Saccharomyces cerevisiae S288C: one gene and its partners. Changing the gene in region 1 together with any one later gene gives a genetic interaction. Each region holds a gene or a part of one and is shown in the gene's direction. Other genes may lie near its edges.

Evidence for each region.
Region 2: mutations in DPL1 (region 1) and IRC23 together harm fitness more than expected from each alone (negative genetic interaction), as found in Saccharomyces cerevisiae (2 studies listed by BioGRID).
Region 3: mutations in DPL1 (region 1) and ELO2 together harm fitness more than expected from each alone (negative genetic interaction), as found in Saccharomyces cerevisiae (4 studies listed by BioGRID).
Region 4: mutations in DPL1 (region 1) and ELO3 together harm fitness more than expected from each alone (negative genetic interaction), as found in Saccharomyces cerevisiae (5 studies listed by BioGRID).

Annotation. Positions count from the first base shown.
Region 1 is NC_001136.10:1,049,941-1,054,165, reverse strand, and holds DPL1 (sphinganine-1-phosphate aldolase DPL1), read left to right. Parts: upstream 1-1,937; coding exon 1,938-3,707; downstream 3,708-4,225. Other genes in the region: HDA2 (Hda2p), read left to right, coding at 1-1,543. UniProt on the Saccharomyces cerevisiae protein: Sphingosine-1-phosphate lyase that cleaves phosphorylated sphingoid bases (PSBs), such as sphingosine-1-phosphate, into fatty aldehydes and phosphoethanolamine. Prefers C-16 dihydrosphingosine-l-phosphate (DHS-P) as a substrate.
Region 2 is NC_001147.6:411,112-413,980, forward strand, and holds IRC23 (Irc23p), read left to right. Parts: upstream 1-1,895; coding exon 1,896-2,369; downstream 2,370-2,869. Other genes in the region: WHI2 (Whi2p), read left to right, coding at 1-1,219; TOM6 (Tom6p), read left to right, coding at 2,741-2,869. UniProt on the Saccharomyces cerevisiae protein: Is probably involved in a pathway contributing to genomic integrity.
Region 3 is NC_001135.5:189,024-192,201, forward strand, and holds ELO2 (fatty acid elongase ELO2), read left to right. Parts: upstream 1-1,568; coding exon 1,569-2,612; downstream 2,613-3,178. Other genes in the region: SNT1 (Snt1p), read left to right, coding at 1-1,146; exosome non-catalytic core subunit RRP43, read right to left, coding at 2,811-3,178. UniProt on the Saccharomyces cerevisiae protein: Component of a microsomal membrane-bound long-chain fatty acid elongation system, which produces the 20-26-carbon very long-chain fatty acids (VLCFA) from long-chain fatty acid precursors and is involved ceramide and inositol sphingolipid biosynthesis.
Region 4 is NC_001144.5:865,443-868,931, forward strand, and holds ELO3 (fatty acid elongase ELO3), read left to right. Parts: upstream 1-1,911; coding exon 1,912-2,949; downstream 2,950-3,489. Other genes in the region: Rho family guanine nucleotide exchange factor ROM2, read left to right, coding at 1-1,342; VID22 (Vid22p), read right to left, coding at 3,220-3,489.

The DNA of each region.
Region 1 (4,225 bases):
GAAATTCAGAACCAAGAGACTTTCCGGTACATCTCTTTATAATGAGAAACACAAATTCCCTAATCTACCTACGGTCGATTCCACAATAAATAAAGATGGAACACCAAATTCTGTAAGCAGCACAAGCTCTAATTCCAATTCGACCTCTTATACAGGTTATTCTAAGGACGACTATGATTACTCAGTGAAAAGAAACCTGAAAAAAAGAAAAATAAATACGGATGACTGGCTGTTTTTAGCCACTACCAAACATCTCAAACACGATCAATACCTATTGGCTAACTATGATATAGATATGATAATTAGTTTTGATCCAATGTTGGAAGTTGAATTGCCCGCTTTGCAGGTACTGAGGAATAATGCCAATAAGGATATTCCGATAATAAAGCTATTAGTACAAAATTCTCCAGATCATTACTTGTTAGATTCTGAAATCAAGAATTCAAGTGTTAAATCGTCGCATTTGAGCAATAACGGTCATGTCGATGATAGCCAAGAATATGAAGAGATCAAATCCTCCTTACTATATTTTTTGCAAGCAAGGAATGCTCCGGTGAACAACTGTGAGATTGATTATATTAAATTGGTAAAGTGTTGTTTAGAGGGGAAAGATTGCAATAACATTTTACCGGTTTTGGATTTGATAACGTTAGATGAGGCCTCCAAAGATTCGAGCGATTCTGGGTTTTGGCAGCCTCAATTAACAAAATTGCAATATTCGTCTACAGAATTGCCCCTTTGGGACGGACCATTGGATATCAAAACCTACCAAACAGAGTTAATGCATAGAGCCGTCATAAGATTGCGAGATATACAGGACGAGTATGCCAAAGGCACTGTTCCACTGTACGAGAAACGATTAAACGAAACTCAACGGCAGAACCAGTTGGACGAAATAAAGAATTCTGTTGGTCTTACATTCAAGAAAAAACAAGAAGTGGAAAAATCCATTAATGACTCTGAAAAAAGGTTGAAGCATGCGATGACAGAATCTACCAAGCTACAAAATAAAATAAATCACTTACTGAAAAATAGGCAGGAACTAGAGAATTTCAACAAATTGCCCTCGAATACTATTTCATCAGAAAATCATCTGGAAGAGGGATCTGCCTTAGCAGACAAGTTGAAGGAATACATAGACAAAAATGCGACTCTTTTTAATAAGTTAAAGGAACTCCAACAAGCAAATGCGGAAAAATCAAAGCTCAATGATGAACTACGTTCCAAATATCAAATAGAATCTTCAAAAGCCGCAGAGTCCGCGCAAACATTGAAAATTTTGCAAGAATCAATGAAGTCTTTAGAAAACGAAGTTAATGGTCCACTGACTAAATTTTCCACAGAAAGCTTGAAGAAGGAGCTGGAACGTTTACAGAATGATTTTCAGTCGCTTAAAGCAAGAAACAAATTCTTAAAGAATTACATAACCTTAATGAACCGACAGTACGACTTAAAAAACAAAAACAACGTCCAGGTGGAAAAAGCTGCCGCAAATGGTACACGGTTTAGATCAACAAGATCCAATACCCCTAATTACACATGAATGTGACGTTTCCTAAAAGAAGTAGCCTGTATAATATAGAGAGATTTTATATACTTTCTTAATGAATTAGACTGTTTCTACAAGTATTTGACACTGGAAAAAAAGAGAAAGTACATAGAGATTGGCCAAATATTTAAATCTACACAGTTGCCTATCGTTTATCGCCTTATTCTTCAGAAACATTTCATCAACTACTCTGGTGCATTATTTCATGTTAGTTACCATATATACCGGCCGGCCGCATCGGGGTTTTTTGATTGAAAAAATTGGTATATTTTCAGTACACATATAAATAAAACCCTCAATTTGCCTCTCCAACCGTTATAACTATTCCAGATCCTCTTTACCGAGCAAGTAGGCTAGCTTCTGTAAAGGGATTTTTCCATCTAATACAATGAGTGGAGTATCAAATAAAACAGTATCAATTAATGGTTGGTATGGCATGCCAATTCATTTACTAAGGGAAGAAGGCGACTTTGCCCAGTTTATGATTCTAACCATCAACGAATTAAAAATAGCCATACATGGTTACCTCAGAAATACCCCATGGTACAACATGTTGAAGGATTATTTGTTTGTGATCTTTTGTTACAAGCTAATAAGTAATTTTTTTTATCTGTTGAAAGTTTATGGGCCGGTGAGGTTAGCAGTGAGAACATACGAGCATAGTTCCAGAAGATTGTTTCGTTGGTTATTGGACTCACCATTTTTGAGGGGTACCGTAGAAAAGGAAGTCACAAAGGTCAAACAATCGATCGAAGACGAACTAATTAGATCGGACTCTCAGTTAATGAATTTCCCACAGTTGCCATCCAATGGGATACCTCAGGATGATGTTATTGAAGAGCTAAATAAATTGAACGACTTGATACCACATACCCAATGGAAGGAAGGAAAGGTCTCTGGTGCCGTTTACCACGGTGGTGATGATTTGATCCACTTACAAACAATCGCATACGAAAAATATTGCGTTGCCAATCAATTACATCCCGATGTCTTTCCTGCCGTACGTAAAATGGAATCCGAAGTGGTTTCTATGGTTTTAAGAATGTTTAATGCCCCTTCTGATACAGGTTGTGGTACCACAACTTCAGGTGGTACAGAATCCTTGCTTTTAGCATGTCTGAGCGCTAAAATGTATGCCCTTCATCATCGTGGAATCACCGAACCAGAAATAATTGCTCCCGTAACTGCACATGCTGGGTTTGACAAAGCTGCTTATTACTTTGGCATGAAGCTACGCCACGTGGAGCTAGATCCAACGACATATCAAGTGGACCTGGGAAAAGTGAAAAAATTCATCAATAAGAACACAATTTTACTGGTCGGTTCCGCTCCAAACTTTCCTCATGGTATTGCCGATGATATTGAAGGATTGGGTAAAATAGCACAAAAATATAAACTTCCTTTACACGTCGACAGTTGTCTAGGTTCCTTTATTGTTTCATTTATGGAAAAGGCTGGTTACAAAAATCTGCCATTACTTGACTTTAGAGTCCCGGGAGTCACCTCAATATCATGTGACACTCATAAATATGGATTTGCACCAAAAGGCTCGTCAGTTATAATGTATAGAAACAGCGACTTACGAATGCATCAGTATTACGTAAATCCTGCTTGGACTGGCGGGTTATATGGCTCTCCTACATTAGCAGGGTCCAGGCCTGGTGCTATTGTCGTAGGTTGTTGGGCCACTATGGTCAACATGGGTGAAAATGGGTACATTGAGTCGTGCCAAGAAATAGTCGGTGCAGCAATGAAGTTTAAAAAATACATCCAGGAAAACATTCCAGACCTGAATATAATGGGCAACCCTAGATATTCAGTCATTTCATTTTCTTCAAAGACCTTGAACATACACGAACTATCTGACAGGTTGTCCAAGAAAGGCTGGCATTTCAATGCCCTACAAAAGCCGGTTGCACTACACATGGCCTTCACGAGATTGAGCGCTCATGTTGTGGATGAGATCTGCGACATTTTACGTACTACCGTGCAAGAGTTGAAGAGCGAATCAAATTCTAAACCATCCCCAGACGGAACTAGCGCTCTATATGGTGTCGCCGGGAGCGTTAAAACTGCTGGCGTTGCAGACAAATTGATTGTGGGATTCCTAGACGCATTATACAAGTTGGGTCCAGGAGAGGATACCGCCACCAAGTAGCTATATAGAATCAAATCTCATACATAATTTAAAGAACGAGAGTGCAATGTGATGATTGTGATTCCTGATCCTATGTCACGGACGACGACTTGTATCACCTTGAATTTTCTGACCAAAGGGGCCGAGTCGCTTCACGAGGGGATGAGAAAGGAAAAGAAGGGAAAACTAAACTTATATAACGCAGGTGTGTCTTTCTACCATTGCCATCAAGTTATTAAAGGCCACGAACAGGAACGCTAGAGACCTGAGTTTGTCATTTGTTTAGTTCAAGGATTAAATAAACAATCCTTCTACAAATAAGTCCTTTCTTTCACCATCGTCTTAAGACCACTGCCTCCAACGAAAACTAACCTAAAAGAGTTTAGATCACGAGTATTTTCGCTCTTTCCCTCCTTCCCCTGGTTTTTTCTCGTTAGTTCTTTTCATTTAAAAACTCTTCTCTTGTCAAGAATTTAAAAGACGAAGAGTCCAACACCGACTGATTTTCTAACAGCAAAGGAACGAAGTTTTGCCGTGCA
Region 2 (2,869 bases), on another chromosome or scaffold:
GGTCATTACTAATTTGACCAGAGACGATGAGGTCTACATTGTTAATTTCCCTCCTGATTGTTTTGAGTACATCATGGAGATATATACAAAAGCGCATGATGATTTGTATAATCATCCTGTGGAGAAATTTTTTGACAGACCATCAAGTAGCTTTGTTTCGAATGCAAAGGGATTTTTTGGACTGAGTAGCAATAATTCAATTTCGAGCAACAATGAGCAGGATATTTTACATCAAAAGCCCGCTATTATTGTTTTGAGAGAAGACTTGGATTATTATTGTGTACCTCAGGAGGAATTTCAGTTTGATTCCACTAATGAAGAAAATAATGAGGATTTATTGCGACATTTTATGGCTCAAGTGAAAATGGCTGCTGGCAGTTATTTAACTTCAAAAACATCGATTTTCCAAGGTTTGTATTCTTCGAATAGACTAAAGCAACAACAGCAACAACAGAAAATTGAAAAGGGGTCCAATTCTTCTTCAAATACTAAATCTACTTCGAAAAAATTGGGACCTGCTGAACAACATTTAATGGATATGTTGTGCTCCTCCGGATTCACCAAGGAAACTTGTTGGGGTAACAGAACTCAAGAAACTGGCAAAACGGTTATAAGTTCACTGTCTCTTTGCCGATTGGCTAACGAGACAACTGAAGGATTTAGGCAAAAATTTAACGAGGCTAAGGCTAAGTGGGAGGCAGAGCACAAACCTTCTCAAGACAACTTCATCACCCCAATGCAATCTAACATATCGATTAACTCTTTATCTGCAAGTAAATCTAACAGTACCATTTCTACAGCAAGGAATTTAACAAGCGGAAGTACAGCACCTGCTACAGCACGTGATAAGAGAAAATCAAGGCTGTCGAAACTAGCAGATAACGTTCGTTCGCACTCTTCCTCGAGACATAGTTCGCAGACCAGAAGTAAACCTCCGGAGTTGCCCAAATTGTATGATCTAGTGCCAAAACCTAATATCAACGCTAAGCTACTATTATTTTGGAGAAAACCTGCTCGTAAATGTTGGTGGGGTGAAGAAGACATAGAGCTAGAAGTGGAAGTCTTCGGCTCTTGGAAAGATGAATCAAAGAAAATCATTGAATTGATCTTGCCAACAAACGTTGATCCTGAAGCAGAACTACATAAAATCATTGTACCCGTCCGATTACATATTCGTAGAGTTTGGACTTTAGAGTTGAGCGTTATTGGGGTGCAGTGAGTGTATATAATATATTAGAGAAAGAAATGGAAAGAGATCGGGCCAAAGACACAATATGTAACAGTATGGTTTCTTGGTATCCCCTCTTTCTATTCCTCCCTTGTTACGAAATGATGTATATTTGTATCTCTATAACAAAATTATATGAACTGTCTCAAAGCACATGAAGAAGGAAAAAAGGTGGCGTCGAAGACTGCTAGATATTTCTCTTCGTATCTTCCCATCCCCTTCTGCAAATAACGGTTTTTCCATTGTCTATTTCAAAGTTACCCGCATAATAAAGTCGTACATTGTTCGAAAAATATCACTCAAAAGCAGCATTGATCCGGTATAAAACAATAGAAATTTTTTTTTTTTTTTATTGTTATAATTATTCTGACTCACGTCTGGATTTCGTTAGTTCGTCATTTTTTCTTAATTTCAGTAAACTGTGATCACGAGTCTGCAACATCATTATACACCGTATATCTGTATTATTAAGAATCAGGGTCTCCTTTTAATTTGCTGTTGAAAAACATCTTAAGGGAGTGTGATTGTCTGTTGATGTATACTAGTCTGGTAAAGCTAAATATTCTTATAAAAAACTTTTGGTAACCCATTATTACAGGAAACAAGATCCATTTATCAGATAAAAATTATAAAACATTAAGGAATCAGGACCTTTTTTTCGACAATCATGATAGAGGCGTTGGAAATAGTTCTATTGCTCGTTATACAATCACTTCAATATATCTGTCGCACATGCATAGCTTTTTTGCTAATACCATTCTTAGGCCTGTATGCATTCGATCTCTTCCTATACGTTTATCGGATGATACTTTATCTGTCACAAATGTTCAATTACAAGAGAAAACTAGGACGTTCTAAAACAAATAATAGGCCGCATAGTCCCAGGCTACATAAGATATACAGTAGTGGGGATTGCATGGATACCTTAATTGGCCAAGTAAGGGATTTGAGAGTATTTTTGTTATCCACGATCCACAGCCACTCTAAAAGATTCTTTTCTACGAGATTTCAGACAAAATCAGGCATTAACTCTGCTATTGACGCGAATGATGTTGAAACAACATCTGACGTATCTAGTTTTACAAATTTACATTTAACAAGGTCATCGGAAGAAGGTTATTATATCGCAGGATCGATATAATAAAAGAAAATATGGAAAACCCTTTCATGGGTGTTTGCACGGAATTAGGATCACATAATGAATACACACAGGAGGAAAACGGCTCGATACATGATTTGGCCATAACGGCAAAAGCGTATACTCACATAATCGTATGCAAACATATCACACAAATCTATCATACGTATGTATACATTTATATAATATATGCATATGGCGGATAATATATTATTGTTCACTGATTTTGTCACTTTATACGTAGTCTTCCTCGCATTATTTAGAGACGAGGGAGAAAAATGGGCCAAACATATTTGATCATTGTACGTGATGAATCCATGTCCTGTAGGCTTCTCAAGAGAACAAAAACAAAACACAGACAAAATAATTGAAAAATGGACGGTATGTTTGCTATGCCAGGCGCAGCTGCAGGTGCGGCCTCCCCACAACAACCAAAATCAAGATTCCAAGCTTTCAAGGAATCTCCACTATACACAATTGCACTAAACGGTGCCTTCTTCGTT
Region 3 (3,178 bases), on another chromosome or scaffold:
GGGGTACAAATAATGGATCCAAAAGGAGCTGTTCAGAATGGTTATTATCCAGAGGAGACCAAAGAACTTGACTTCAGTTTAGAGAATGCGTTACAGAGAAAGAAACACAAATCTGCACCAGAGCATAAAACAAGTTATTGGAGTGTTCGTGAATCTCAACTCTTTCCAGAATTGTTGAAGGAGTTTGGCTCTCAATGGTCTCTCATATCAGAAAAACTGGGTACCAAATCTACTACAATGGTAAGGAATTACTACCAAAGAAATGCAGCTCGCAATGGATGGAAATTACTGGTTGATGAAACCGACTTAAAGCGAGATGGGACTAGTTCAGAATCTGTACAACAATCTCAAATTTTGATACAACCAGAACGACCAAACATCAATGCCTATAGTAATATTCCTCCTCAACAAAGACCGGCTTTGGGTTATTTTGTTGGACAACCAACTCATGGGCATAATACATCTATTTCATCTATCGATGGCTCTATAAGACCATTTGGGCCTGATTTTCATCGTGATACCTTTTCTAAAATTAGTGCTCCTTTAACCACTTTACCACCACCAAGACTACCATCTATTCAGTTTCCTCGTTCAGAAATGGCAGAACCTACAGTGACAGATTTGCGTAACAGGCCCTTAGACCATATTGACACGTTGGCTGATGCAGCTTCGTCAGTAACAAATAATCAAAACTTCAGTAATGAAAGGAATGCAATTGACATTGGCCGTAAATCGACGACAATCAGCAATCTATTGAATAATTCGGATCGAAGCATGAAATCTTCTTTCCAAAGCGCTTCAAGACACGAAGCACAGCTCGAAGACACTCCCAGCATGAACAATATTGTAGTACAAGAAATAAAACCGAATATTACTACGCCAAGATCGAGTTCTATTTCTGCATTACTAAATCCTGTAAATGGGAATGGGCAATCAAACCCAGATGGAAGGCCGTTGCTGCCATTTCAGCATGCTATTTCTCAAGGCACTCCTACTTTCCCTTTACCGGCCCCTCGCACTAGTCCAATAAGTCGTGCGCCTCCAAAGTTCAATTTTTCGAATGATCCGTTGGCAGCTTTGGCTGCGGTTGCCTCCGCGCCAGATGCAATGAGCAGTTTTTTATCTAAAAAGGAAAATAATAATTGAACAAACGGCTGAGACGGGCAATACATATGCTCTACTTCTTTTCCATCCAATGGTTGGTGAAACTCTCGAGCATACATTACCTTACGTGTGTTAGTGTACTATATTATATATATATATATGTATATATATAAAGGGAGGAGTTTTTAATTATAATTGTAATTTCGTATTTTTTCTGCATTATACAGTTTTTTCCGATTTTAAACGACTTTATTTAAGTGTCGTGTAAATATGTCACATTTTATTTTTGTACGTATTCACATGTCCTGGCGTGCGGCCATTGCTGAAAATCGCAAAACCCACAGAGAAATAAACATCGCGAAAAAGTCAATGAAAAATTGGAAAATATTTTTCATTTCACTATTATCCACAAGCAATTTTGTACAAAGTGAAAAGGTTGAACTAATTATCTTCGTCTAGAAGCCATGAATTCACTCGTTACTCAATATGCTGCTCCGTTGTTCGAGCGTTATCCCCAACTTCATGACTATTTACCAACTTTGGAGCGACCATTTTTTAATATTTCGTTGTGGGAACATTTCGATGATGTCGTCACTCGTGTAACTAACGGTAGATTTGTTCCAAGCGAATTCCAATTCATTGCAGGTGAATTACCATTAAGCACTTTGCCCCCTGTGCTATACGCCATCACTGCCTATTACGTTATTATTTTTGGTGGCAGGTTTTTGTTAAGTAAGTCGAAACCATTTAAATTAAATGGCCTTTTCCAATTGCATAATTTGGTTTTAACTTCACTTTCATTGACGCTTTTATTGCTTATGGTTGAACAATTAGTGCCAATTATTGTTCAGCACGGGTTATACTTCGCTATCTGTAATATTGGTGCTTGGACTCAACCGCTCGTTACATTATATTACATGAATTACATTGTCAAGTTTATTGAATTTATAGACACCTTTTTCTTGGTGCTAAAACATAAAAAATTGACATTTTTGCATACTTATCACCATGGCGCTACTGCCTTATTATGTTACACCCAATTGATGGGCACCACATCTATTTCTTGGGTCCCTATTTCATTGAACCTTGGTGTTCACGTGGTTATGTATTGGTACTATTTCTTGGCTGCCAGAGGCATCAGGGTCTGGTGGAAGGAATGGGTTACCAGATTTCAAATTATCCAATTTGTTTTGGATATCGGTTTCATATATTTTGCTGTCTACCAAAAAGCAGTTCACTTGTATTTCCCAATTTTGCCACATTGTGGTGACTGTGTGGGTTCAACAACTGCCACCTTTGCAGGTTGTGCCATTATTTCTTCATATTTGGTACTATTTATTTCATTTTACATTAACGTTTATAAACGTAAAGGCACCAAAACCAGTAGAGTGGTAAAGCGTGCCCACGGCGGTGTTGCCGCAAAGGTTAATGAGTATGTTAACGTTGACTTGAAAAACGTTCCTACTCCATCTCCATCACCAAAACCTCAACACAGAAGAAAAAGGTAAGTGTAAAATCTTTGAAAGAATTTAAGTATTCAACTTTCGTATATTCGTTTTTTCTTAGTGGATCTATTGTTACTATTATCACTATTATTATATTGTAAAAGACCGGATGGTTTTGTTATATATTACATACACATGTTATCGTTGAAAAAAGTTTTCCGTTTCCTTTCGACAGTCATCAGATAATTTTATCCGAGTCTTTTATATGTTAAATCTTGTTGACAAATCGTCCGCTCTAACCCTAGATAACAACAATGATCTTTTTATCATTTCTGGCGTTATTTTAGCGCCTCCTCCCACTAATGTTAATTGCTTATAGTTACCTGAAGGAGCAGCGAGGATGGAGATCGTACTGTGTATACTTGTTTCTTCCGCTTCAGTATCTAGGTCTGCTATTAGCACAGTGTTCAATTTATCCATATCAATGTCCACTTCCTCTTCTTCAGAGTTATCAGAGTTTTGTAATTGGCATTCGGGGTCTAACTCCACTATCCCATAATTTGAAGCAAATGCAATATTCTTTGCGTTTATCATTAACGGTACTGACTTAGTTTGGTCGCAAATAATTT
Region 4 (3,489 bases), on another chromosome or scaffold:
TATGCTCTTATTTTTAAAGGCCAAAGCAGTTAATAAATGGCACCAGCATAAGGTATTCCAAAGGCCCATTCCATTGCCATTGTTATTTGCATGTCCAGGTGAAGATATGCCTGCGTTGAGGAAATATATTGGAGACCACCCAGATTGTTCAGGAACTGTAATTCAACCAGAATACAACACGAGTAATCCTAAAAACGCAATAACTTTCTTATACTACGGTGCCAAGCAGAGATATCAAGTTACATTATATGCTGCGCAATACGCTGGATTGCAAACGCTTTTGGAAAAAATAAAGCAAGGACAAGCAGCTATTATAAGCAAAACGGAGATGTTCAATGTAACGAAAATGAGCGATAGGTTCTTCGATTACACCAACAAAATTAACAGTGTTACTTCCTGTGATGGGGGTAGAAAACTTCTGATTGCAACGAACTCTGGATTGTATATGAGCAACATTAAAAGACAGCAGAATAAAGATCATAGACATAAAAGCTCTGCTTTTTTTTCAACTCCAATCCAACTAGTACAAAGAAATAATATCACTCAAATTGCTGTATTAGAAGAATTCAAATCAATCATACTTTTAATTGATAAAAAATTATACAGTTGTCCGCTGTCATTAATCGAAGCAGAAGGTAATGGGACATCTTTCTTCAAAAAGCATCACAAGGAACTGATCAATCATGTGAGTTTCTTCGCAGAAGGAGATTGCAATGGTAAGAGATTAATCGTGACTGCACACAGTTCATCGCATTCAATTAAGTACTTCGAGCATGAACATCCATTATTGGCCGAAAAAAATGGTAGTGGTAGCGGTAACAAAAAAAGTCTCAAGAAAAAAATCACCGAGGTTATTTTTGATTCTGAACCTGTCTCTATTTCATTTCTCAAGGCCAACCTATGCATTGGCTGTAAAAAGGGTTTTCAGATCGTTAGCATTTCACAGAATGCTCATGAATCCTTGTTAGATCCGGCCGATACATCATTAGAGTTTGCACTAAGGGATACTTTGAAACCAATGGCAATCTATCGTGTGGGAAATATGTTTTTGCTGTGTTACACAGAATTTGCCTTCTTTGTCAATAATCAGGGTTGGAGAAAGAAAGAATCGCATATTATTCATTGGGAGGGAGAGCCCCAAAAATTTGCAATTTGGTACCCGTACATCTTGGCATTCGACAGCAACTTCATTGAGATCAGAAAGATTGAAACTGGCGAATTAATTCGTTGCGTCCTTGCTGATAAGATTCGACTTCTACAAACAAGTACTCAAGAAATCCTGTACTGCTACGAGGATTATCGCGGGTATGATACAGTTGCGTCGTTAGATTTCTGGGGTTAAGATAGCAACGTATATAGACTTTCCTTATTTTCTTTAGAATAAAAAGCATAACTAAAGTTGTAAAAGGAGCAGAATTATGAATAATAAACATTGATGACAATAGTGGAAAACGACATAAATAATAATTTTATAATATAATAATGATAATTCACCGTCAGAGGGATTTGTATGCAAATGATTGATGACGCGAGAAAAAAAAACGCGAAATTTTTCTTCCCAAAGCTTCGAAGTTTTTATTCCGTCCACAAAGTGAAAAATTTTCAGAAAATTTTCCAGACTGTGAATAAACAAAAGGTTGGCTTACGCATTTGGCTTGTCTTTTTTTTTTTTCACAGGTTCTTAGTAAATAATTGTATAAAATATTTATCTGGAGTCTTCTGTTTGTTGTTTAGCCTTGTTTGAAGTTTTATTTAACTTATTACCCCAGTTAGGTACTGTGTATTTTCCGCATATCTGGTGTCTTTTTATTTGGTCATTGATTGGTTTTTGACAGCTCTTCACTCGCTTCAAGCTTACTTCTAGTTTATTTATTCGGCTTTTTTCCGTTTGTTTACGAAACATAAACAGTCATGAACACTACCACATCTACTGTTATAGCAGCAGTTGCCGACCAGTTCCAGTCTTTGAACTCTTCTTCTTCATGTTTCTTGAAGGTTCATGTTCCTTCCATTGAGAACCCATTCGGTATTGAATTATGGCCAATTTTCTCCAAAGTGTTTGAATACTTTAGTGGCTATCCAGCTGAGCAATTCGAGTTTATTCACAATAAGACTTTCTTGGCTAACGGGTATCATGCTGTTAGTATTATTATCGTTTATTACATTATTATCTTTGGTGGCCAAGCTATCTTACGCGCCTTGAACGCCTCTCCATTAAAGTTTAAATTGCTTTTCGAGATACACAACTTGTTTTTGACTTCTATTTCTCTAGTTTTATGGTTGCTGATGTTAGAACAGTTGGTTCCTATGGTTTATCACAACGGTCTATTCTGGTCTATCTGCTCTAAGGAAGCCTTCGCACCAAAATTAGTTACTCTTTACTATTTGAACTATTTGACCAAATTCGTAGAATTGATTGACACTGTGTTTTTAGTTTTGAGAAGAAAGAAGTTATTGTTTTTGCACACTTACCATCACGGTGCCACCGCTTTGTTGTGCTACACTCAATTAATTGGTCGTACTTCTGTTGAATGGGTAGTTATCCTACTAAACTTGGGTGTTCACGTTATCATGTACTGGTACTACTTCTTGAGTTCATGTGGTATTAGAGTTTGGTGGAAGCAATGGGTCACTAGATTCCAAATTATTCAATTTTTGATTGACTTGGTATTTGTTTACTTTGCTACCTATACATTCTATGCTCACAAATACTTGGACGGTATTTTACCAAACAAGGGTACTTGTTATGGTACTCAGGCTGCTGCTGCTTATGGGTATTTGATTCTAACATCTTATTTGCTTTTGTTTATTTCCTTCTACATCCAATCTTACAAGAAAGGTGGTAAAAAGACAGTCAAGAAGGAATCTGAAGTTTCCGGCTCCGTTGCATCCGGTTCTTCTACTGGTGTCAAGACCTCTAACACCAAGGTCTCTTCCAGGAAAGCTTAAATAGGAAGCGAGAATTTTTGACAGCGAATGAAAAAGAAAAAAATTAAATGTTAACATTTTCTTTATATTAAATATGTACGATAAATGAAATCATTATTATAGAAATGATAGATTATTGGCTTGGTGTTTTTCCCATTTTGATTAATCATTTCCTTAGCTGCCCAAAGAATTGCACGCTTACAGTGAGGAGTAGTGATACATTACAATTATAAAATAAAATTATATAGCAGCTAAAATTTAAAACAAACAGACTTTGTTCCTTTGTATGTCCTATGGAAGATACTGACTTGCAGTTTGTAAAGTGTCCAAGTCGTAATCCACTTTACTTGCCACGAATTGATCATTGAATAATTTAATTTTAATAATCTCTTGAGTTAAATCGGGATGTACTCTGGGAATGAAGTCATTTAAAAATGAGTACTCTCCCCTAATGGAGGAAGATGACTGACATTGCATTATCTTGAACAAAATTCTAATTATCGGCCCAGCATCATTATCTAAGTATTGGGACCAGAACGCGTTACACACAGGAACATGGAT